Arabidopsis thaliana: one gene and its partners. The protein of the gene in region 1 interacts with the protein of each later gene in a pairwise test. Each region holds a gene or a part of one and is shown on either strand. Other genes may lie near its edges.

Evidence for each region.
Region 2: the proteins of GRF3 (region 1) and AT5G40880 interact in a two-hybrid assay, tested with the Arabidopsis thaliana proteins (one large-scale study listed by BioGRID).
Region 3: the proteins of GRF3 (region 1) and AT1G24040 interact in a two-hybrid assay, tested with the Arabidopsis thaliana proteins (one large-scale study listed by BioGRID).

What each region holds. Positions count from the first base shown.
Region 1 is NC_003071.7:15,269,588-15,277,255, forward strand, and holds GRF3 (growth-regulating factor 3), read right to left. Parts: upstream 3,529-7,668; 5' UTR 3,031-3,528; coding exon 2,817-3,030; intron 2,719-2,816; coding exon 2,527-2,718; intron 2,517-2,526; exon of another isoform or gene 2,313-2,516; coding exon 1,958-2,312; intron 1,149-1,957; coding exon 713-1,148; 3' UTR 501-712; downstream 1-500. Other genes in the region: SBE2.1 (starch branching enzyme 2.1), read left to right, coding at 1-125, 210-353. UniProt on the Arabidopsis thaliana protein: Transcription activator that plays a role in the regulation of cell expansion in leaf and cotyledons tissues.
Region 2 is NC_003076.8:16,375,379-16,382,781, reverse strand, and holds AT5G40880 (WD-40 repeat family protein / zfwd3 protein (ZFWD3)), read right to left. Parts: upstream 3,890-7,403; 5' UTR 3,302-3,889; coding exon 2,552-3,301; intron 2,446-2,551; coding exon 2,344-2,445; intron 2,235-2,343; coding exon 2,082-2,234; intron 1,991-2,081; coding exon 1,577-1,990; 3' UTR 1,430-1,576; downstream 1-1,429. Other genes in the region: CLC-A (chloride channel A), read left to right, coding at 1-959, 1,033-1,137; UK/UPRT1 (uridine kinase/uracil phosphoribosyltransferase 1), read right to left, coding at 4,398-4,553, 4,684-4,766, 4,866-4,938, 5,036-5,129, 5,281-5,341, 5,484-5,544, 5,629-5,712, 5,797-5,991 and 5 more.
Region 3 is NC_003070.9:8,501,456-8,509,454, forward strand, and holds AT1G24040 (Acyl-CoA N-acyltransferases (NAT) superfamily protein), read right to left. Parts: upstream 5,341-7,999; 5' UTR 5,299-5,340; coding exon 4,339-5,298; 3' UTR 4,333-4,338; exon of another isoform or gene 4,237-4,332; 3' UTR 4,158-4,236; intron 4,006-4,157; exon of another isoform or gene 3,741-4,005; coding exon of another isoform or gene 3,501-3,740; intron 3,417-3,500; coding exon of another isoform or gene 3,276-3,416; intron 3,123-3,275; coding exon of another isoform or gene 2,973-3,122; intron 2,884-2,972; coding exon of another isoform or gene 2,720-2,883; intron 2,652-2,719; coding exon of another isoform or gene 2,453-2,651; 3' UTR 2,335-2,452; downstream 1-2,334. Other genes in the region: MLP423 (MLP-like protein 423), read right to left, coding at 1-3; AT1G24030 (Protein kinase superfamily protein), read left to right, coding at 1,939-2,047, 2,147-2,334, 2,453-2,651, 2,720-2,883, 2,973-3,077, 3,276-3,398, 3,501-3,740; AT1G24050 (RNA-processing, Lsm domain-containing protein), read left to right, coding at 5,602-5,755, 5,862-6,027, 6,123-6,203, 6,688-6,811, 6,943-6,984. UniProt on the Arabidopsis thaliana protein: Protein acetyltransferase with dual specificity triggering both N-alpha-acetylation (NTA), with a large spectrum of modified N-termini, including methionine, alanine, serine and to a lower extent threonine and valine as substrates, and epsilon-lysine acetylation (KA).

The DNA of each region.
Region 1 (7,668 bases):
ACAGTTACTCTGACTACCGTATCGGTTGCTCTGTTCCCGGAAAGTACAAAATCGTTTTGGACTCTGATAACTCTTTATTTGGAGGCTTCAACCGGCTAGATGACTCCGCGGAGTTTTTCACCTCTGTAAGCCCTTTAACTAAGCGAGAACGAAAAGAATAAACTCTTTTCTCCAAGTCGTTACAAAGGAACTAATAATTTGCTATACAGGATGGAAGGCACGACGATAGGCCTTGCTCCTTCATGGTGTATGCACCGTGCAGAACCGCTGTAGTTTACGCTGCAGTAGATGATGATGATGATGATGAACGTTCTTCTCTTGTCCCCATAGGCCTGTTACCCGAAGATGTTTAGGAGCAAAGACAGTTGTCCGAGTTTACCTACTGTAAGCTTCTTTGTACTACAAAAATTTACTCGTTGATCTTCTTCTCCTTTAGTTTTCGCTTGCAGCATCATTATAACTTAAAAATGAAATAAAAAGTCGTTGCACTTCTACATTTTGCCTAAGCTTCATCGTAGATCCTATTTAGACATGAATTTCCAAAAACAAATCTTTGAGGATATAAAATCTGCAGAGAAAGGCTACAGATACAAGGGAAATCTTAAAAGAAAAAGGGAAGAGGACAACAAAAGCCTCCCCTCTTTATACAGGAAATTTGGATAAAAACCAAAAACACAGTAAAAACCGCATTGTTGTGTTGGTTTTACACTGGTCAATGAAAGGCTTGTGTCGAGACACCAAGCTGATGGAGAACACTGGTTGGGGAAGATGAGGAAGAAGATCTCAGGGCTTCGGCCAATGGTCCGCCCATGTTGTGATGATGGTGGTTGGAACCTCCACCGCTCCACCAGCTCATGTTTTGCTGATCTCTCCCATTGTTGTTGCTCCGGGCTCCCTCTTCGTTGCCTGTGGACAGCTTCAGAGAGACGTCTGAGGAAGAGTTCCCGGGCATGGAGATGGAGAGACAAGTGGCTGAGCTCATGGGGCTTGAACTATTGTCAGCTTCTTGGAGCGAAGAACGAGGCCAATCGTCAAAGAAGGGCCTCAGGATGTGTCCTCCATCTGATCTGTTGTTACTGAATCCGATGTGGGACTCGTATGGCCTCTTGTTGTTCATGTTGTTGCTTTCTTGCTTCATCTCCGAACAACTGTTAACAGAATCCACATCTCATTGGTGAAAACAAAGCACAAAAGCAATAATTTGTCAAAAGAGAAACCACATTTAGGCTTCAACAACAAAGTTGCAGACAGTAGTAGCCTTTATATTAGTTTATAGGCTTTAAAAGTACCTTTTAATGTGGGTTTTATAAGAATTGATTAAGCAGTAAATAGAAATAGAATTATAAAGTGAGTGTTTTGTATATCATGTGTTGTGTGTGGATAGGGGAGGTGGGTGCAGAAGAATCTAAAAGCTTTAACTTTTCTGCAAGATATGAGACATATATGGGTCAGCTTTCACTAAGGTCCTACCATTTCTCTCTCTTTCTATTTTCTCTGTTTGAAAAGTCTCACACCTAGCTTCAAATTATAGATTCTATCAAATCCAATGTTATCATTATCTCTCAACACAATAAGAAAAAAGAAAGAAAGATATTTTCACAATGAAATCAAACTCATAATTCAACAAACAAACAAACCAACCAACCCTAAAATGATAAGGATGTGTCTCTCAATTTCCAACATTACCCCTCTCTTCACAACATCGCTATGAACATACAAACCAAGTTGTGTATATCATTAGTTCATACTTCATACTAATAAATCAAGAATCAGTATTGCTTTAAATCGATTTCATTATTATTCAAAACAATTGTCTAAAATCTCAACCATGAATCTTATTGGCTCAACACTAAAGAAATAAAAAAGTCAATGTGTTTAAGTTTAATGTTTTGACCATAAAGTTCAACAGCTAAAACAGACAGACCTAAGAGAAAAAAAAACAGTTTCTTTTTATTACCTTTGACTAAGGTGGAGAAGTTCAGATGAAGAGTTAGAAGAGCCAGAGAAGAAGAAAGATCCTCCTTGACCAACCACTTCCTCACTACCACCACCACCACCAAAAGCAAACGTAGATGTTGTTGTTGCTGTTGTAGTGGTGGCTGCGGCTGCTACTGATGAAGCCATGGACGTGGCAGTTGCATTGACGGTGGTTGGAGTTTCCACAGGCTTTCTTGAACGGTTGCGGCCACGGTGCATGTGGCGCTCGCAATACTTGTGGCCAGCGAAGACGTCTCTTGAACATCTCCACTTCTTACCATCCGTTCTCCTGCATCTGCCTGGCTCAGGATCCATCGCTGCCCTTCCCAAATACCCTGTTTTCAACATTCATATCACATATCAGATCAATAACAAGATTCTAATCCTACTTAATCCCATTCACACATGTTTAGATCTTCAAGATTGGCAAAACGAGATAATATACTAATATTGAAAGTCTGGATCTTGGGAACACAACTCCAACACCAGTAGCACAAAACCCATTTATATTTAAAAAATAGATAGATGAAGACTGTTCTCGAGACTCACAAGCAGGTTGGTAATGAGGTAGGTGTTGAAGAGGATGGTGAAGAAAGTAGGAAGGAGATAGATGGAGAAGGCTTTTCTTGATTGGTAAAAGGAGCTCCTGAGGAACAGCAGCACCAGCCAACATGTACCTGTAGATCAGAGCTTGTAGTTCAAGTTCTTGCCACTGTGCCCAGCTAAAGAAGCTCCCCATCTCTACAAAAAGGAATCAAAATCAATTAAACACAAACTATATGAATGAAAAGTCTAATTCTTTATCAAGAAAGATAAGATAAGAGGAAGAAAAGACTCACTGGGGAACCTGGAGGAAGAATCAGGAGACAAAGAGGAGAGTTTAGAAGAAGTAGGCTCAGGGGTAAAGAGAGGAAGAGCAGTAGAAGTTGCAGTGTGAGAATGAATCTGGTCAAAGACATGTTTTGGTATCTTAGCTGCAGAAGGTTGTTCTTCTGACTCTGTCTGATGTTGTTGCTGCTGCTGGCTTCTCCATTGTTTCAGTTGCAAATCCATTGAAGAAAGAGAGAGAGAAGTGTTGGTTACTTTAAGGATAATGGTTTTTCCCCTTTTTTGTCTTCCAGGGTTCTGATTTAATAGCTTATGAAAGTCTTGTTGGTTGGGTTACGAAGAGCAAAAGAAAAGAAAAAAGAACTTTCTTTGCTCGAAGGAAAAAGCTTTGTTCTTGGTAGTCAGTTTCTGTATCTGAGCTTCTTCTGCAGAGAGAGAAAGGACAGAGTAGAGGGAAAGAGGTTTTTAATAGAGAGACTTGCGAGAAAAAGACAGTGAGACAAGACAGATGCGGGGAGAAAATACTATACAGTAAAAAAGACTACTACTATAGTATAACTCTTTATTAATTGTGTTCACAAATCTCTCTTCATTAATCTCAAAGACTATTTAAAATAATTGGTTTAACATTTGTATCAATAAAAAAATGAAAAGCAAGTCAGAAAACCCAGAAAGAACCACTCTGCAAGATGAAGATGGAGAGATAATAACCTGCAGTTTTTCTGTCTTTGCTGCTTTGGAAATACCAATCTCCATTTTTATATTAGTATAGCTTTTTAATTTGTTTTATAATGAAAACAAAAGCCTACTTGTTAAGAATATTTAATTAGTCTTTTAACCAAGTAATTTAGATTATTTAATGAGTAAGCGTTACGTCGATATAATTTGTAATTTGCATTTGTGACAAACCTAACTACTTTTAAATTTGAATTAGTATAAAATTCGTTTAGGTTCCTATATTATCATATCATACGGCACTAGATGTAGTACTTGCCACTCTATTTTCTTTTTTAACTGATTAATTTTGTACCTTCGTTCATAGATCTAGTCCGAAAATGGTAATATTAATTCGGGTAGAATCGGCTGAATTCTTGGTGGAATGAATCTGTTGCAGAAAAACTGAAAATATTATTTTGATATAATTATTTTAAAGCGTTATGCCAAAATTGACTGAAAAATTAATCAAACTAACATAACTGGTGGGAAAAAAAATGGAAACATGAGTTTAATAAATTCATCAGGCTAGTTGAACATGGATGGAGCCTCGAGAGAGAATCCCGGGTTAGCAGCAGCGGGAGGTGCGGTGCGTGATGGGAACGAGAACTGGGTTGGGGTTTTTGCTTTGAATATCGAAATCTGTTCAGCGCCACTAGCAGAGTTGTGGGGACTCTACTATGGGTTACACATAGTCTGGGAGCAAGGAATAACACGCCTTGAGCTGGAAGTGGATTCGAAGATCGTGGTTGGGTTTTTACAGACAGGGATACCGGATTCTCATCCTCTATCTTTCCTACTACGTTTGTGTTATGGCTTCATATCAAGGGACTGGTTAGTCCGTATTTCTCACGTGTATAGGGAGGTCAATCGTCTTGCGGACGGGTTAGCTAACTATGCGTTTTCTTTACCTCTTGGTTTGTATGTTTTTAATTCAGTTCCGGATTCTATTGCTTCTTTTGTTTTGGAGGATGTAAATGGGCCTGCGTTTTCAAGAACTATCCGAATGTAATTTCGTATTTTCTTTTTAATAAAATTGGCGGATTTTCCCCCTTTTCCTACCAAAAAAAAAAAAAAATCATCAGGCTTGAGAAACATTAAAAAAAATGGTTGTAAATGTTTATATTTTAAGTGATAGTTAAGTGAATTATAAATATTAAAAGTATTCAAGTAATTTCTCTATTAGCAAAGTTGCAGAGATTCTTGGAAGTTTTTTTGCCAAATAATTGTTAGCTATTCAAGATTTTTGTCAAAAACTTTTATACGGCGTGGTACGAGTTCATGTTGTCTTGAGTAAACATGACAAATGCATCCTTGTTTATGAGAACTCTTAGAGCAAGGTTAATCCACCTGAGGGTTTTTGAGAGGCCCGGATGCTTGAAGAGTATCGTATGAAGTTTTGGTTGTTGGAAGACCTCGGATTGCGTCATTGCGGAAATGTTAAAGCGAACGGCTTCCACAGAGTCTCAGCATATCCAAGGGAAAAGTCTCATGGGCGTCATCGCCTATACGTATTGCATTATTAGCTAGTTCAAAGATGTGGGAAAATATTTCATCTAACTATCACTTCTCTGTTTTTTTTTTTTTTTTTGACATCCATCTAACTATCACTTCTCAATCACTATGTATCTCATGTTTTCTTTAACAAATCTAAAAGAAAATGAATTCATGAATTGTATGTCAGAATGTTTAGCTAAACTCAAACCCCGAAGCTTTAAAATAATGGTAGAACGATGTCTCAAGAGTCTTAGGAGTCATGTATTAATTATAGAACAAACGACTACTTATGAGTTATTATATCTTTTACAGTTTTACTATAGACTGAAACCAAAATTTTCTGGTTCAAATTTGGTTAAGGTAGGCAAACTTTTGGTCCAATAATTTCTTTCATCTTTTATCAACGGTTAGATTTTGTATTCTATTCAATTTTGTATACAACAATTACATTCTTTTTGGGTTGATTTAGGTTTTACATTCGGTTCTGACTGAGGTAAAAAAAAAGATAGAAGAAGAGAAAATGAAGTAAAGAGGAGAGAAGTAAGTAATAATGAGAAAAGAGAAGCAGGTGGGCTGTGTCAGAGAAAGCTCAGAAGTAAAAAGCATAAAAGTGAGTAACCAAGTGGGTGGTGAGGGTTTGTTTCTCTTTGGGCTGTGATTCATCTTTGATTTGACTACTCATAGTACTTCTTCTTTTTCTCACTCTTACCCCCTCTCTTTTCCTCTATTTTTCACTTTTTACCCTCATAAAATCTTTATTCACATTTTTCTCACACTCCAATTCATTTAACAAAATTTTAATCACATAATACAAAATCTTAATCACATTTCCCTTTTCACGGTTTATCTTTCTATAATTTTAATAAGTTTCATATTATCTGATGAAAATTAAACATCAAACTTTGTTATTTATAATTTTAGTAAATAGATTTTTTTTCTTTTTTATTTCATAAGAGATTAAGTTATTTAATGTAAAGCTTCTCTTGACTGTATAATATCTTAACTATATTATTCTTATAAAATTTCTCAAATTTCAATAACCGTATTATGTTAGTCTACAAAAAAAATTATATTACATCAATATTCTTACATACCAAACTAAGATATATATTGTCCAGTTCTTTTCATGGCATATGTATTTTACATGCTCTATTTTAAAAAATTACTACGTGTTTCAATATCAGTATTGTTGAAATTATACACCCTCCAACGAGTAAGGAGATAACCCATTACAATGCATTGGCACTGATCTACATGAACATGACTGACCAGATTTAACCATTCGAGCAAACAAAATAATAAGTCAACTATATTTTGAATAGTCACAAAACTATACATCGTAATTACAAAACTATTTCTGACATATAAGATTAATAGGTTAAAAGAACCACCGTCGAATCGTTGATGTACGTAGTAGTAGTATCGTATTAACGAGGCAATGATATAACTATCAATATTTTTCGTAAGAAAACACAAGTTTCCTTATTCTTTTCTTACGTCGGCGATAAAAGTTAATGTCGTACTTTGATTTATGAAATTGTGATGGAAAATTGTTTTAATTAATTAAGAAGAGAAACGAGTTATTTGTACAAACAAATCTGAAAATATAGAAATAGAGCAAAGGACAGAGAATAAGAAGAAGAGGCAAAGGAGGGCGAGAGTTCACATGTTCAAGAGAAGACAAATACGTTTCTCTGACACAAATCTGTCAGACCAATATTTTTAAATATTTTATTGTATAGTTTTTATTTTGTTTTGTTGTATGAGAAAGAAACGTATATTATGTCTTTATTACCACCACAAGGGGTCAGGCTCCGTCCACTTGGGGTCCCAATTTTTTCTTTGTTACGAGTTTTTTTTTGTAGTAAAAGGCAAGTCACGCCGGCACGCGAGCCCTCACGTGATCCCACGTGCTTTATTTATTCTCTCCATACCAAAATTTCTTTTCCTTTGTTGTTTGGTAAGGTTTTTTCTTTTTTGGCCAAAATATGATATTGGCGAGATTGAAAACATGTATATTTTTAAAAAAAATGTAGGCGTAAAAATTATGTTACTAACACTTCATTAAGCATATGCCAAGATTTTTAAATTAAAATTTATATATCACTATTGGTCGTTTTTTTTTTTGTGTGTGACAGCAGCTCACTATTGGTTGTTTATATTAACCACATACTAAATAAGGCTAGCTACTACCAAACTTGGACCAGAACCTAACACATGATGTTATTTTTAGTAATATGAAAAAAAAGAAACGAAAAGGAAAAAGGAAAGAATAGATCTTTCTGGTGAGAGAGCATACACAACACATTGGTGACACAAGGTATCTAAGGGCATGACCGCACGTGTCAACATGCATCAAACATGCGATCTTTCAATATTAGTATTATATATTTAGCAAAGACGCAAAAGAATCCAAGGCAAAGACTACTTCGCCTGCATGTCATGCCAATCTCTCTCTATATGTTTTCTAATCAATATACTAGATTACTAGACAAGTTGTTTTCTAATAAGATCTCTCACATATGAGCCAATTTGAGCCAAAACATGATATGATGGATAAAGCTTATTTGGGTATTGAAAGTATAGAGACTGTCAATGAGAAAGTAGTCATTTGGGCCCAAGTACAGAGATTTAAACCTTATCAGGAAAAGC
Region 2 (7,403 bases), on another chromosome or scaffold:
GTTATTACAACGATCTATCCACTCTGCTTCTCACAACCAATGATGATGCAGTCAGAAACATTTTCTCTTCAAACACTCCTAATGAGTTTGGCATGGTTTCTCTCTGGATATTCTTTGGCCTCTACTGCATTTTGGGTCTTATAACATTCGGTATAGCGACACCGTCGGGTCTCTTCCTACCGATTATCCTCATGGGTTCTGCATACGGTAGGATGCTAGGCACAGCAATGGGGTCTTACACAAACATAGATCAAGGGCTTTACGCGGTTCTTGGTGCAGCTTCACTCATGGCTGGTTCAATGAGAATGACTGTTTCACTCTGTGTTATATTTCTGGAACTCACCAACAACCTTCTTTTGTTGCCCATTACAATGTTTGTGCTTCTGATAGCTAAAACAGTAGGTGACAGCTTCAATCTAAGTATCTACGAGATCATTCTCCATCTTAAGGGCTTACCTTTCTTGGAAGCAAATCCAGAGCCGTGGATGAGGAATCTCACTGTAGGTGAGCTTAACGACGCTAAGCCTCCGGTTGTAACACTTAACGGAGTAGAAAAAGTGGCAAATATAGTCGATGTACTAAGGAACACAACGCATAACGCATTCCCAGTCTTGGATGGAGCAGATCAAAACACTGGCACAGAGCTCCATGGTCTGATCCTAAGAGCTCACCTTGTGAAAGTTCTGAAAAAGAGATGGTTCTTGAATGAGAAAAGGAGAACAGAAGAGTGGGAAGTTAGGGAAAAGTTCACACCGGTTGAATTAGCTGAGAGAGAAGATAACTTCGATGATGTTGCAATCACAAGCTCAGAGATGCAATTGTATGTTGATCTTCATCCTTTGACCAACACTACACCTTACACAGTGGTGCAAAGTATGTCAGTGGCTAAAGCTTTGGTTCTGTTCCGGTCAGTGGGTCTCAGACATTTACTGGTGGTTCCCAAGATTCAAGCTTCAGGGGTAAGTTTGCTTTTTTACTCTCTTGATTCAAGATTCAAGAACACTACTAAACGTGTGTCTTGTGTTGTTGCAGATGTCACCTGTGATAGGGATCTTAACAAGGCAAGATCTCAGGGCTTATAACATTCTACAAGCATTTCCTCACTTGGATAAACACAAAAGTGGAAAAGCTAGATGAATAAGCCAAAATGCAAAGAGCGTTCACTATTATTTGGTTTGTGTGATTCGTGTGTCTTTCCACATTCTTAGTTGATATATATTCTGTCCAGTTTTGCTTGCATTCTTCCTTCAAGACCAAAAACAAATTATACCATTTGGTAGATTTGTGTTTTCTACTTGTAAATCTCCTTTTTTTTCCCCACGTTTTCAGTTTCAAAAGAAGAAGAATAAGAAATTTGAATACAGAACAAAACTTTGAAGCTTCCATGGAGTTCACAAATCTTTTAAGGAATTGTGTTAAATAAACATCTTTCTATGAGAGAACGGATATGAAAATATTACTTTCTTTTATCTTGGCAACATTAAAAGTTATTACATTAATGCAAGGATTTAGAATCAACCACCAATGTATATGTACAAATTAAATGAAAATCAATAGTCGAAAATTGTTAAAACGACTAAACTTTGGTGCCAGAAGCTAAGCTCCATACACGCAAGTTCCCACTCTTGTCTCCACTGAATAACAATCCTCCAGGACCAATTGTAAGTGTGCAGATCGTCTGCGTAGAGAACATCTTTCCTCTTTCTTCAAAAGATGGTAGGTCGAAAATGCCAACTGCTCCATTTTGGTAAGAGCAAAACATGATCGGTTTGGCCTCTGCATCGTGCATTCCACAGAGAGTATGAACACTCAGTTCTTGTTTGCGAGTTTGAACAACTTTCAAACTTTCATTTTCAGAACAAGCCCAAAGTTTTATGGTCCCATCCAAGGAAGACGATATCAGACACTTGTCCCAACATAAGAGTGAAGTGACAGTGCCGATATGTTGCTTCAGGGTCATTCTACATTGCAAGGTGTTGAGATCCCACACCTAGAACCACAGCAAACAGAAGTTATTAGAATGCATTCAAAATAAGATTAAAGATGAAATCATTTTGTATTTAGTAGCAGCCATATCTTACCTTTATTGTTTTATCGACAGAACCAGAGTATAGCACTTCACCTCCAACAACAAAACAAGTGACTTCACCACTATGATGTCCCTCGAGAGATGTCAAGTATTTGAATGGATCAGACTCCGAGTCTGTAGCTTTCCAGACTAATATACTACCAGACTGCAATTCCAAAAAAGACAAAAGAAACTTATTAGTATAGATCCAACAAAGAAGCAGAGAACCTAACACATGTATAGAGAAGATAGAGAGTTAAGTTAAAAATGCTTACACTTGTTCCAGCAAAAAGCATTCCGTTTGCAGCAGTCATTGCATGCACCTGACCAACCACCCCTTCAAGATGCACATCTTTACTGTTTTGAACGTTAAAAGCCTGCAAAATTGATAAACAAAAACTTTAACACCAGAATCAACTGAGTTTAACGAACAGAATTTAGATAACAGAAGAATATTTGTGTTAAGAGACGCCTTAAACTAACCTTTACAGCGTTTGGCAAGCCAAGGAAAACCCATGGTCCTTCACTAATTAGAGACCCTGCTTCTGCCTGGAGGTTGATGGATCGAACACACTGACCAGAATTGCAGTCCCAAATTAGCAATGTACCATCACCACTGACTGAAAAGAGTTTATCTGAACCCTGAGGAAGGGCGATTCCCTTAATATCATTCTTGTGTCCTTCAAGAGCAGCTACCATGGCCAGTCCAGGAAAACAAGACCAAGAGTGTAAGAACTGGCATTTCTCGCCCTTTTTGCAGTTTCCATCTTTCCAAAAATTACACACACTCTTTTTGGGACTGCCATTGAGTCTCGGCCCACAACCTCTGGTGTCTGAAAGAGAAGAGCTCCTTGGCCCATACACAGCATTCTTCCTCGGCTGGTTTGATACACGATGTCCTGTGCCTATAACTTGTGGTTTCGCTGACCCATTGGCTGCATTCTGCCTTGGCCTGTTTCCCTCTGGTGATTTGTACTCTTTTGACGTCCAAACCAGATTCCTTGACAACTTATTAGGACCTTTCTTCATACCATTGTCATACGGGGCATAAGGTCTTCTCGTAACTATATCTGCTGCAAAATCTTGCTGTCTCGCAACTCCAAAATTCCTTCCGTGTGAGTATTTCCTTGGCGCCTTGTAATCCATACTAAACATTGAGAAAACACCAACTTTAGAAGACTGAACCACAGAGTCGATAACTGTTTGCTTCATCCATGATGACTGATGACCCATACATAAATTTTCACAAGGGTAACAAGTCCAGAAGCAAGGAGTTTCTGAATTCCCCAATCGCTAGAGAATCAAAAGCAACACATTCTTCTGTCTGTAACCCCAAATTCAATCCAGGTATCATAGAGCACCACGTCCACAGAAAAAACCAAATAAATCTCTAATTCAGAACTCTAAACCTATAATTCATCACCTAAAACCTATTCAAAACCCTAACACTAACAACAAGAAGAGAAGATGTAGCTCCGACAATGTACATAGAAGAGAAACTCGAATCCATAATCCTTATCGGTGAAACCCTAAGATTTATCCATATCCATATCGGTGGAAACCCTAGATCTCTGGGTATCGATGCGAATAGGAGGATCGCGAATCGAGGAGATGAAGAAACGCAACCCAAAGTGAAAGCAGGAAGAAGAAGGCATCATCATAATCGCGGAGAAAACGTAGTCGAAGAAGAAGCAAACCTGAGAGATAAAACGTATGTTGAATCTAGATCTTCGATTAGGGAACGGTTTCGAACTCGATCGCAGAGAGAGCCAAAAGAAAAGGAAATTTAGAGACGGAGGAAATTGAAGGTCAAGAGTCGACTGAAATAAAACTATAGGTCTTGCATAGGAGTGGTGTATTTATAGATGAGCGTGTGGCGGTTACGCTACATTAATTTATAGTTGGGCTTAACTTAGGCCCATCATTCGTGGGTCCAACTAAGGTTAAATTCTATCATTAGGTTTAGGTCATAATCCCTAAACCCTAAGATCCTTAAGAAAAATGGTAAATATATATTAATCAACATGTAAATAAAGAAATTAAAATTAGAGAGAACTGGAATTTTCGTACGATTGTCAAAATCATGTATAAAAGGATTGGTTATGTCTTTTTCCACCGGTTTAGAAAACTAGCATTGTCCCGATCATTTTTTTAATGAGAAAATTAACGTAGTTTTTCAAAAATAATTCAAGTAAGCAAGAGGAGCTTCATAAACAATAAGATAAAGATTCTTTAGCACAAACTACAAAGACATGCAAGTGCCTCTACTGTCGCTCTAGTCATAAATTTAGGCTTTTCCTTTGAAACCAGTCACAGTGTTGAGTGGTGGCTACTGGTCTTCCTCGTCGGTGCCGAAGTAACGATCGCCAAACTCGCCTAAGCCCGGTATAACTCTGAATTCTTGGTTCAGACATTGGTCTATTTCAGACGTCACAATTTTCAATGCTGGAAAACGTTTGCAGACACAGTGGATTCCCTCCGGCGCCTGTCAGAAAGCAAGGTCATGACGAGGGAAAGAGAGAAGCAAAGAGATAGAGAAGCAGATACATAATGAGATCTTTAGCTTCTACATTCACAAAAGAGCGAAAGATCGATATATAGCTTTTTACACTCACCGATATAAGGTTGAGGAATATAATGTGAGCTTCAGGAACACCTTTCTGTATGAGTAGTTCAATGGCTTGATTAGCCGAGTTACCTTCAAGAAGAAGCAATATCACGAGATATGAATTTCGAGAACCAAAAATCCATCAAAAAGGACCAAAATCGAAATATACAGCGTAGAGAGACAGAGTACCTGTGGCTAAGACAGGATCTAGAAGCAGGACATGGCGTTCAGATATGTCGTGAGGAAGCTTCTCATAAATAAGCTGATTATCACGACAAGAGAAACTTCAAAATTCGTGTTTATAAAAAGAGATTATACTTGATACTTTTAAAAACAGAGCAAAATATTAATAGGAAGACCTGTTTTCCATTATCGCCATCACGGTGGATGAGAATCTTCCCTATTTTAATTCCTTTGCAGCAAGCGCGTAATGCATTTTCCATGCTTTCACCACTAGGAAAAACATACAAAACAGAAACCACGTAGGAGAGATAATTTAATCGCAAACAAGTAAATTTATGCCTTGCATGATGTAAAACAGTTGGAAGAATAAGCATCTTATCATATCAAACTTAACCAAATACAATACCTTTCAAAGGCTCACCTTCTAATAATTGAGACCCCACAAAGTTTCTTGCAGAAATCAACACCGGTATATACAGCTCCTGGTGTGGAAAAGATAAGTTTAAATGAGTTGAATAAGCTAACTCTAACTAGATTGACGTGAAGGAGACGGACATCTGATGACCAAGTTATATAAAAAAGTGTATACAGTATTGTTACAGCTCATGCATTCTCTTCTCATACCTGTTGGAGTAACTACTTGTTTCTCAGTGAATGGCAAATGACCAAGACCATGCTCCACGACCTGAAATTGAACTGATATTAGTTAAAATAAGAAAGCCTGAAAAGTGAGTGACGTTGAAAGAGAAGACATAAGGGAGAGATATACCAGACGAATGAGTCTATCTGAATAAAACACAAAGTCATGCTTTGATATGTCCTTTTCCCGAATAAGTGTATGCATGCCTCTTATCTGCAATCATGATCCTATAGTGAGACCATCGATAACACTTACCATCTAAATCAAGTATCAAAGAGAGCAAGAGTGAGAAAATACCTGAAATGTTGACTGGATAACATAAACATTTGGGTAGATTTTGCAGAGATCATGCTGCCCAAGTTTTGTGTGGATATGTTGCGTAATCAAATCGACTGCAACGTGATTATCACCTCCTCGAGGAATGATCACGTCAGCATATTTCTTTGAAGGGAGCACGAAGTCATCAAATGCCGGCTTCACAAACTTTGCATACTGTAAACGAACATAACATCCTCAGAAAACAAATTAGGCACATGGGAAGCTCAGAAGATAAAAGAGATGTTTTACAGAGGAGCATCTCAAAGGATGGAATAAGAACATATAGAGTTATCTAGTAAAAAAACAACAGTAGGAAGCAGAAAAGGAAGAAGAAACCAGAGAAGAGACACAATGAGATGTTCCCTAGAGCAGAATTTCCATGTATTTACTCATGTCTCATATACACACACAAAATAAAGCTACCTAACTAGGTTAGATGAACCTATGCTTACAAATCCTACAGCATAAATCGAAAAGAGGACTGACCTGTTCAAGCACAGAATTGACATCCCTACCCCTCTCAACTGTGTCACGCCTAATTCTGCGAGCAAGCCTTACATCAGCATCTGAAACCATTTAATAGCTTATGTTGAGGACTAGAGAGAAGTGAAAAAGATTCCAAGGAGATAGACAACTTTGATTACAAAATATCATTTCCAGGTATACAAAACTAATAAGGTTATCCAAAGAGTGAAAAAGGATGAGTAGCGCAAGACATATGCATGTTTTGGGGAAACAAAAAGGCATAGCGGTTGATACCTGTATCAACAAAGATCTTCATATTCATCAGATTCCGAACTCGTGAGTCATGGAAAACTAGAATCCCTTCCAATATTATTACATCAGAAGCATTGACCTGACAGAGGCTCCCAACAGATATTAAGTTTAAAGGGAATGAATATATGCTAATATGCCCATTAAGTTAAAATAGGAACACATAAATAAGAGATTCAAATCACATGAGCACAAGAACCACAATAATGGTCTTGGACATAAGAGTAAGCACCTGGCGGAAAGTATCAGATCTACGTTGATGAGTCTTAAAGTCATAGATTGGAACTTGATAGGGTTGCCCGCTCTTGAGAGTCTCAGCACAATGCAAAAGCTGCTCAGTGTCAAACGCATCTGCAAAAGAATACCAAATGCTGCTGTCAGCTGAACCGCAGTGTACTTAAAACCAAAATACAAGCAAGCAGTGAGAAGAAAATTCAAGAAAAACGATTAAGTTAGTTTACCAGGATGATCAAAGTTATACTCTTGCACACGCTGCAACTCCTCAGATGTCAAACCACGATAAAAGGAATCCTAATCAACAAAAGATATCAAACATTATAAGATGTGAATCTCATACAGAATAAAGTGGGACATTGAGAACAAGATTGAAGCAATAGAATCAAACCTGATTAACTAAAACGACACGATGGTCATGAAGTTGCTGGATTATCATGTCACAGACCGTGGTCTTACCAGAAGCCGTACCACCAGAAACCCCTGTCAAAAGGTCAAATCAAACAAAACGTCAAAAAAAAAAAAAAACGATACTTTAATACAATTGAAACCAAATTAGTTCTGTTAAATCTCAGGAG
Region 3 (7,999 bases), on another chromosome or scaffold:
CATTTGTTTCTAATTAAAAAAAAAACTCAATTATTTTGTATGTCTTTGAATGATTTGTTTGTATAACTTGTCAATGAACGTGTCTATATATAGAGAGGTTTTAAAGCCTTTAGTGATATGATAAATTGCATTAACTATGTGGAGCAACTCATCCAACTAATTTTTCATCCTATGGGTCCTTTTTAAAATTAACCTAAAGCTTATACATTTGCCATTCTTCATTGCTATCTCACCCACTCAAAGAGGTGGATGAATCAATAAATCGATGCATGGTATAACATTCAGTACAAAGAAATTAAAACTGGTTTTGTACTGCTTTAAAACAAAATTGTCGGTGATAAATGTTGAAAAACATATAGTATTGAGAGTCTATCGGCCAAAAAAAAAAAAAAAAAAAATCTAGATATTTTTCATATATTCATACACGTTATTTTTATGGCTACACTCATCTACATATATATTTTTCTTATTATGGATTTAAATTTTTAGGAAACAAAATTATTTCAACTTTTCATGATTATATCTACCCTTTTTAACACTTGATTAATTGGTTTCTCTTCTTTCAAGGTTTTTAGATCAAAGTTTCAATTGTTTGATTTATTTGAAAAACTATTTATCATAGAGAGTGTTTATGGCCTAGAGATAAACTAATCCCTTGTTCGTATTTCTTCAGATCGATTTTGTGAGATTACCATTTTTTCAGATCACTTACTTGGTTCTTTGTTGAACAATGGTAATGTCACACAATCGATCTGAAGAACCAAGTAAGTGAAGTAGCATATTTTACATAATTGGTTCTCATTTACGACCTCTCATAATAACTGTGGGCCAATATGTGAAACATGATGAGATTTAAATGGTTATAAATAATGTATTATCATTGATCAAAAATAAATCAGTAAACGTTCACGTCACACAATTAGTCAAACATAACAACTTAATAATTGCAAATTGCATTTCATAAGAATAAAACTTTCTAATCATAAAGAGCTGAATGTTTCCTCTTTATTTTCTACAATAATCTTCTTGGTGGCACTGGCATGGTTAGGTGCAATGCAATAAAGCCAAAACAATTTCTTCATCGTTAGGTACTTTGATTTCACCATTGTGCGAGAAAACAGCATGTTGGTTTCCATTGATATAAAACGACAACCACTCTTCAATCGTAAAATAAAAATGTTCTAAGAATGAGTCATCATTTCTATTCGAAGCAAAAGTTCATCCGAACCCAAATCCTTAATATACAATTGGATACGTTAAAGTTACAGTATCCTAGGATTTGTCAATCTTATTAAAAAAAACTAAGATTGCTTTAAGAAAATTATAGGTTTTCTCCACTTATAAAGTTTAACTTTTATAATCTCTCTCTCAACGAACTATGAAAACAACATTAGTAAATAGTAATATAGAAGTCTAGAGAAAAAAGTTGAGACGAAAAGGGTAAGGAAACACTCTGAAAGCAGCTTCCCATCTCTATTTGATCGACAGAGATACGTACGTACACAAACTGGTTAGAAGGAGATAGATTCAGACAAGAGAACCAAACCGAGAATTTGAGCTTAGAAAAGTTAAGGAAACATCAAGTCTTTACTTTCTCAAGATGGCTCTCAATTTCTTTTGCTTCACGTACATGTAATCTACGTATTCTTCAGCTCTACCGTCTCTTTCTCTCTCTCTTGAACTTTCGGTAGTTGAAATACTGCTGTTGAGTATTTCAGAAACCTAACCCTCAAAATCAATTAACTTTATTGCACTCTATATTTATCATCTTCAACCACAACAATCTTCTGTTTCTTTGGAAGCAACTAACTACAAAGAACATCTTCACGACTAGAAAGACACATACCCTTCTGTCTTAAGGACGAGACCAGAAGCTTCTTCTATCGGCTTTGTAATGGTCTACAAAGGATAAGAAAAAACCAAATCCAAACTAAAGCTATGCATTTTCCACTTGTTTCGGCTTGGAACAAGAGAAGGAGAAGCAAATCATATGATACGGATCCATGTACGTTCCTTTTCTCCATCATCTTCGCCAGATGGCATAAAAGTATGTTACTGTTTTTGTTTTTCGACATTACTACTACTGAATATAAAGGGTTTAGGTAAAACTGAATCACCATCTGTTTGAAACTAACCTTCTTCTCAGGGGTCTACAGAACAGCAGAATGCTGGCAAATCGAAGATCAGGCTTCTCAGCCAAGGAAGCGAAGATTCGGGTCATCAGTTTATACCCTCAAGGAGATGGAGGAGGCCACAAGTTCTTTCAGTGATGAGAATCTCCTCGGTAAAGGAGGCTTTGGCCGAGTTTACCAAGGCACTTTAAAAACAGGAGAGGTAGGAACTATATAGCTTCATTTATGTGATTTACAGGCTTTGTAATGTTACAAAAACTTTTCTATCGAAGAGGAGCTATTAGAGTAGGATACATATCTTAATCCCTTGTTATTTGAAGGTTGTTGCAATCAAGAAGATGGATTTACCTACGTTTAAAAAGGCTGACGGAGAAAGAGAATTTCGTGTGGAGGTGGATATCTTGAGCAGACTCGACCACCCAAATCTGGTCTCTTTGATCGGCTATTGTGCAGATGGGAAACACCGGTTCCTAGTATATGAATATATGCAAAATGGAAACCTGCAAGATCATTTGAATGGTAAGTCAACAAAATAAGAGCCCAATCCACTAAAACCAATTGGCGACTAAACCGCGTCTTTATCACAGGAATCAAAGAAGCAAAAATAAGCTGGCCAATAAGGCTCAGAATTGCACTAGGAGCAGCAAAAGGACTCGCGTATCTCCATTCAAGTTCTTCTGTTGGGATTCCAATTGTTCACAGAGACTTCAAATCCACCAACGTTCTACTAGACTCCAATTATAATGCAAAGGTTCTTATACAGTTAATAGAAATGGAGGGTTTATGCAGCACTAATACCAAGCATAGACTAAAACTAAGATGTGAGTGTAATCCTTGCAGATATCCGACTTTGGACTAGCAAAGTTGATGCCAGAAGGAAAGGATACTTGTGTCACAGCAAGAGTTCTAGGAACATTCGGCTATTTCGACCCAGAATATACATCGGTAAAGATTCTTACTTATATTTCACACATGATTCTCTTCCGATAGGGTAAACTAGACACTACTTAAGAAAAATTAAAACTTGCTAGTAATGACATAAAATAGCCTGGAAAAGGAACTTTAATCACACTCACATATCAGAGCCAATAGGCAACGGAGGACAATTTTTAGCATAATTTTTGTTCCCTTCTTCTGTGGCAGACAGGTAAACTTACTCTACAAAGCGACATTTATGCATTTGGGGTTGTGCTGCTAGAACTACTTACTGGACGCAGAGCAGTTGACTTAACTCAGGGCCCAAATGAACAGAACCTGGTGCTACAGGTAAAATGGACCTTTTAGGTTCTATGATTCACAAACACAAAAAGTTCAAAGATCAGGAAACTTAACATAGGAATAAACTGATCAATTATCTCTACGTTTCAGGTTAGGAATATACTGAATGATAGAAAGAAATTGCGTAAGGTTATAGATGTCGAGCTGCCTCGGAATTCATACAGCATGGAAGCTATAACCATGTTTGCTGATCTAGCATCACGGTGCATCCGTATAGAGAGTAAAGAGCGACCTTCAGTGATGGATTGTGTTAAGGAACTGCAACTAATTATCTACACAAACTCGAAGGGTGGTTTGGGTGGGACGATTCCTACATTCAGAAGGCTCTAGACACTGAATTCTTCGAAACAAGTAAAATGGATTACTGTCATTTTTCCTAAAATGAGAGGTCACTGATAAAAAAACACTTGATAAATATAAACAAACAATACTAATTATGAATTACCGGATAATTTCAATTCAACTTCCAGCTAGGAAACTTTGATCAAGCGATATTATTTGGATATATATACTATAATTTCACTAAGAAAATCAAGCACTAGATGTATCCGTATAGTATGTTGTATTTGCTGCTATGAATGTTTTGCTTTAAGAGAAATGAGTACATAAATTCAGGGGTGTAGTCTTGTTTTTTCTTTCCTTCTTTCGCCTAATGCCTAAAGAATTAACCACATGTCTATGAACAAGAAATACAATCGCTGCCAATACAGGAAGCAGATAACAAAGATAAGAGTGTGTGTGGAGTACCTCTACTAAGATCATATAAACAATAGGTCGAAGCAAACGGGATTATCAACCCGACCCTTGGTCATGTCACATTTAGCTCCTACATAATAAAGCCAATCACAATGTTTGTTATAAATTCAGAAAAGGTTGAGAAGAAGACTAAAAGCTAATTGGTACACTGATGGAAAAACTGTACCCATGTTTACACATTTGCAGAGGAGGTCAGCTCATTATCAGACCCCACCATTTCTACTATAGGATTGGTGCATAGTGGAAGAAGTTTCTTCCGCATCAAATGCTTACGCCGCTGTAACATCAGAAGGACCAAAACTGTATCTGTCTTAACAACCTCGTATCCTGCCTTCTTGTACATATTGAAAGGAGCCTCATCAACCATCCTACAATGCAAGTATACATCTTTTGATGGACTAATCTGAGATATCAGTTCCTCACTCGCCTTCAACAAATGCCACCCAATTCCTCTCCTTCTAAGATCCTCTTTGACAGTCATGTTACAGATATAAGGTGATTCCTTAGGAGGAGTTGGAGAAGGAGGAGAAGCATTAGCGCCTCGTTTCTCCAAACAAACCTCAACAGTTCCAGCCATCACAGCCTCCTCCTCTCCATCATCACTAAACTCATCAACTTTTTTCCTAAAGAAACCAACTAAAGTAACTGCGTGTGGCAACACTTCTCTTCTCTCAATCAAATACTGCTTAATCAAAAACCGTAACACAGACTGATAACCAGAAGGTAATAACATCGATTCACCAAATGACTCAGCCAATAGATGCACCGTTGAATCCATCTCTTCATGTCTCATAACTCGAACCCACATCGATCCAGATTCAAGCTCTTGAAAATACGCAAATCCTTCAAGAGTTTTAAGCTTCTCTAACTCATCGTTACTCAAAAACCTCCCGGTACGAAACGATTCCTCTAGAAACGCGTAATTCCCGGTCGATTTAGAGTTTTCTTCTCCAGTTTCTGTAGCTGTCGAAACTGAAGAAGGAGGGAAAGCGAATCTGAGATTGGAGCGGTGAGATTTACACGAGTAGAGTAATGGATATCTATGTGAAGAAGACGAGAAGCCAAACTTCGTTGATTGGGTTGGTTTGAGAGAATCAACAGAGAAAGCTAGTGAGATGCTTAAAGCCGCCATTGACACACACACACACGATTTTCTCCGATTTGATTGTGGTTCAGTGTTCGCTAATCTGTTTATAACGAAATAAAATGGATAAAGTAACAGTCATACACTAATCTTTAAAACGCCGCGTTTTGAACTAATCATGAAGCTCAGTAGTTATTGGGCCCTTATGGCCCATATACTGATATAAAAATGAGGAAACTGTTATAAGCCAGTAGCTATTTGGGCTTAAGGCCCATATTGCGATATATATAGTTTTAATTTTTCCGAAGTTCGGCGATTTCAGAAGACGGAGGAGGAGCGAGGACGGCCGCCATGGATCCAGCAGGAGCATCGGTGGCCAGCGCAATCGGAGGAGAAGGAGAGAAATTCGCGGTGGGGAATATTTATTCAGTGAAGGTGATCACCGGAGATGAGTTCAGAGGGATCGTCATGGCTTACGACCCCATCCCCAACTTCGTCTTTTTTGATATCCTTAATTTCTTTAATTGTTTGTTTCATCAAAATTTGAGATTTAGGTATTTTCAATGTCTTGACCTGAATTGTGTTATCCTTGACGAGTTATTGGTTATTACAAGAGGGTACAAAACCTAGACCTGGGCATTTGAAGAACACTCGGATGGTGAATGCGAGTTTTATTACAGGGCTTTCGTATTTAGGCAAAACTGAAGATCCACTTGATTCAGACAACTTTTCTGTTGATCTTAATGGTCTCCGAGCTAAAGAGGCACTTGCTATCAGGTGATAAGATATTTTGTTGTTGAATCCTTTCAAAATGCAATTTTTATTGCTATTTGCTTGTTTTGAGCTTACTTGGGAAAACGTATTGAGCACAGGCAAGCGGAAGCAGATGCTGAAAGAATGGGAGTTGGTGTTACCGCTGAGGCTCAGAGCATCTTCGACGCGTTGTCTAAGACGTAAGGATCTTCTCTTTTTATACGTTTTCGGATCGAAAAATAAGCTAATCTCTAAGAAGGAAACACAGCTTAGAGTATACGGTAGAGAGGTGGGACGAGATCGTAATCTAATGTTGTTTAGTTGAACTATTAGTTCTTTGTAAACAATTGCTTGGGTTGGAGGATTTTGTTTTGTGCGTCTAATGTGTTATTCCCAAAGATAAATTGTTAGGATCTGGACATGATTTAGTGTTGTTTTGCTCTTGGTTTCCGGTGATGCTAGTTTGCAACTATATATATGTAAAGTTTCTATGTTTGTGGTTGTTGTAGATTACATATGTTGTGGGCTCTAGTGTCAAGTATCTTTAGTCTTCTTTGTGATACTGATACAGTTAAGAAGCTGTCTAGATACATAGTTTTAGACTACATAAATCCTTAAACTTTCTTTGTTTGAATTTGCTTTTTCTCTTTCGAATGAATCACATGTGAATTATTTTCCTTTTAGGCTTCCTGTGCAATGGGAAAACTCAGACATTCTGGTGATGAAAGAGGTACGCGTTCGTAGCCCGTATCTTTCAGATTGTGTCTTTGGAGGAACTGATGCTGCCAACAACCGAGTCAAGAAAGTGGTAAGCGTCACTTTCAGTTCATTGTGTAATGCCAATTAAGCCTCTGGTGTTATATTAGTCATTTGCATTCAATCGTGTAACGTTGATCAAGCCTTGGGTGTGATAGTAATGCAATTTTGCTTTTATCGCAGCTTGAGCTGGAAAGACGAAGGTTGCAACTCTTTGGCACATGAGGCTAGTGAAAAGAGTCGGTCAGTGAAATAGCGAGAAAGGGTTCGTTGCTACTAACCCGAAAGGCGTCTATAGATCTGATCGACCAGCGAAAAGCGGATATGTTTGCTTTTCGCATGTTGTTGTCTTTACTTAGAATCTGCTTGTCCTTGTAAAAGCAGATTAGAGATTTCTTGAGTTACAGCCTTACAGGGATTGAAATTTGGACTAATTTCACCCTGGTTATTGACAAGAACAGTGAGGTCTTGTCTTGTCCACTTTTTACCAGGGCTTGGTTTATTTATCGCCTGGAACTGTAAACTATTCTGAAATGTTGAACTACTTTTTAGTGACTTCTCCGGTAGATTTTTACATCTCGTGTGCTCTAGAACTGAGTTCCTTGATCAATGCAAAAGTTATAAGAAATATTTTTCTGTTGATTGTTAGTATTGAACTGTGTATAGATTCCAATGATGATCATAATAGACCGTGGTGATGTATAAAACCATCTTATTCGATACACAACATATACAACTATGGACACAACTACTTTGCGTTTGGGTGATCAAGCGTGAGCTAACTTGTTGATTAGAAACCAACATTGATGCTACATGCGAATGAAATTTTACGTTACGACTAAGCTAACTCTGGATAAGCGCTTGCATGAGGAGATGGAGATATAACAATGATCACTCAGGTTGCTTGATATCATTTGAATCAAAGCTTTAAGAATGTTGTAAATTGAATCCAAAAACTAGTAAGACAATGTGTTAATTCAACATTGGAACTTATAAGTATCATAGATCGACGCGAGAGTTCTGCTTCTAACAGATACTTATCACCAAAACCTTAACCTATCTTTAGTGCAAAACACCACTAAACTATGAGCCACAAAAATTATTAAGAAGGCAACAAAAACCCTACTAAGAAGCCAAAGGAAACAATCCACACACTTGCTTCTAATCTTCTACTTGTTGAGTATTTCGCTGAGATTGAGTTGCTTTCTTTAGCAATCCACTACTAACACAAGCCTGAAAA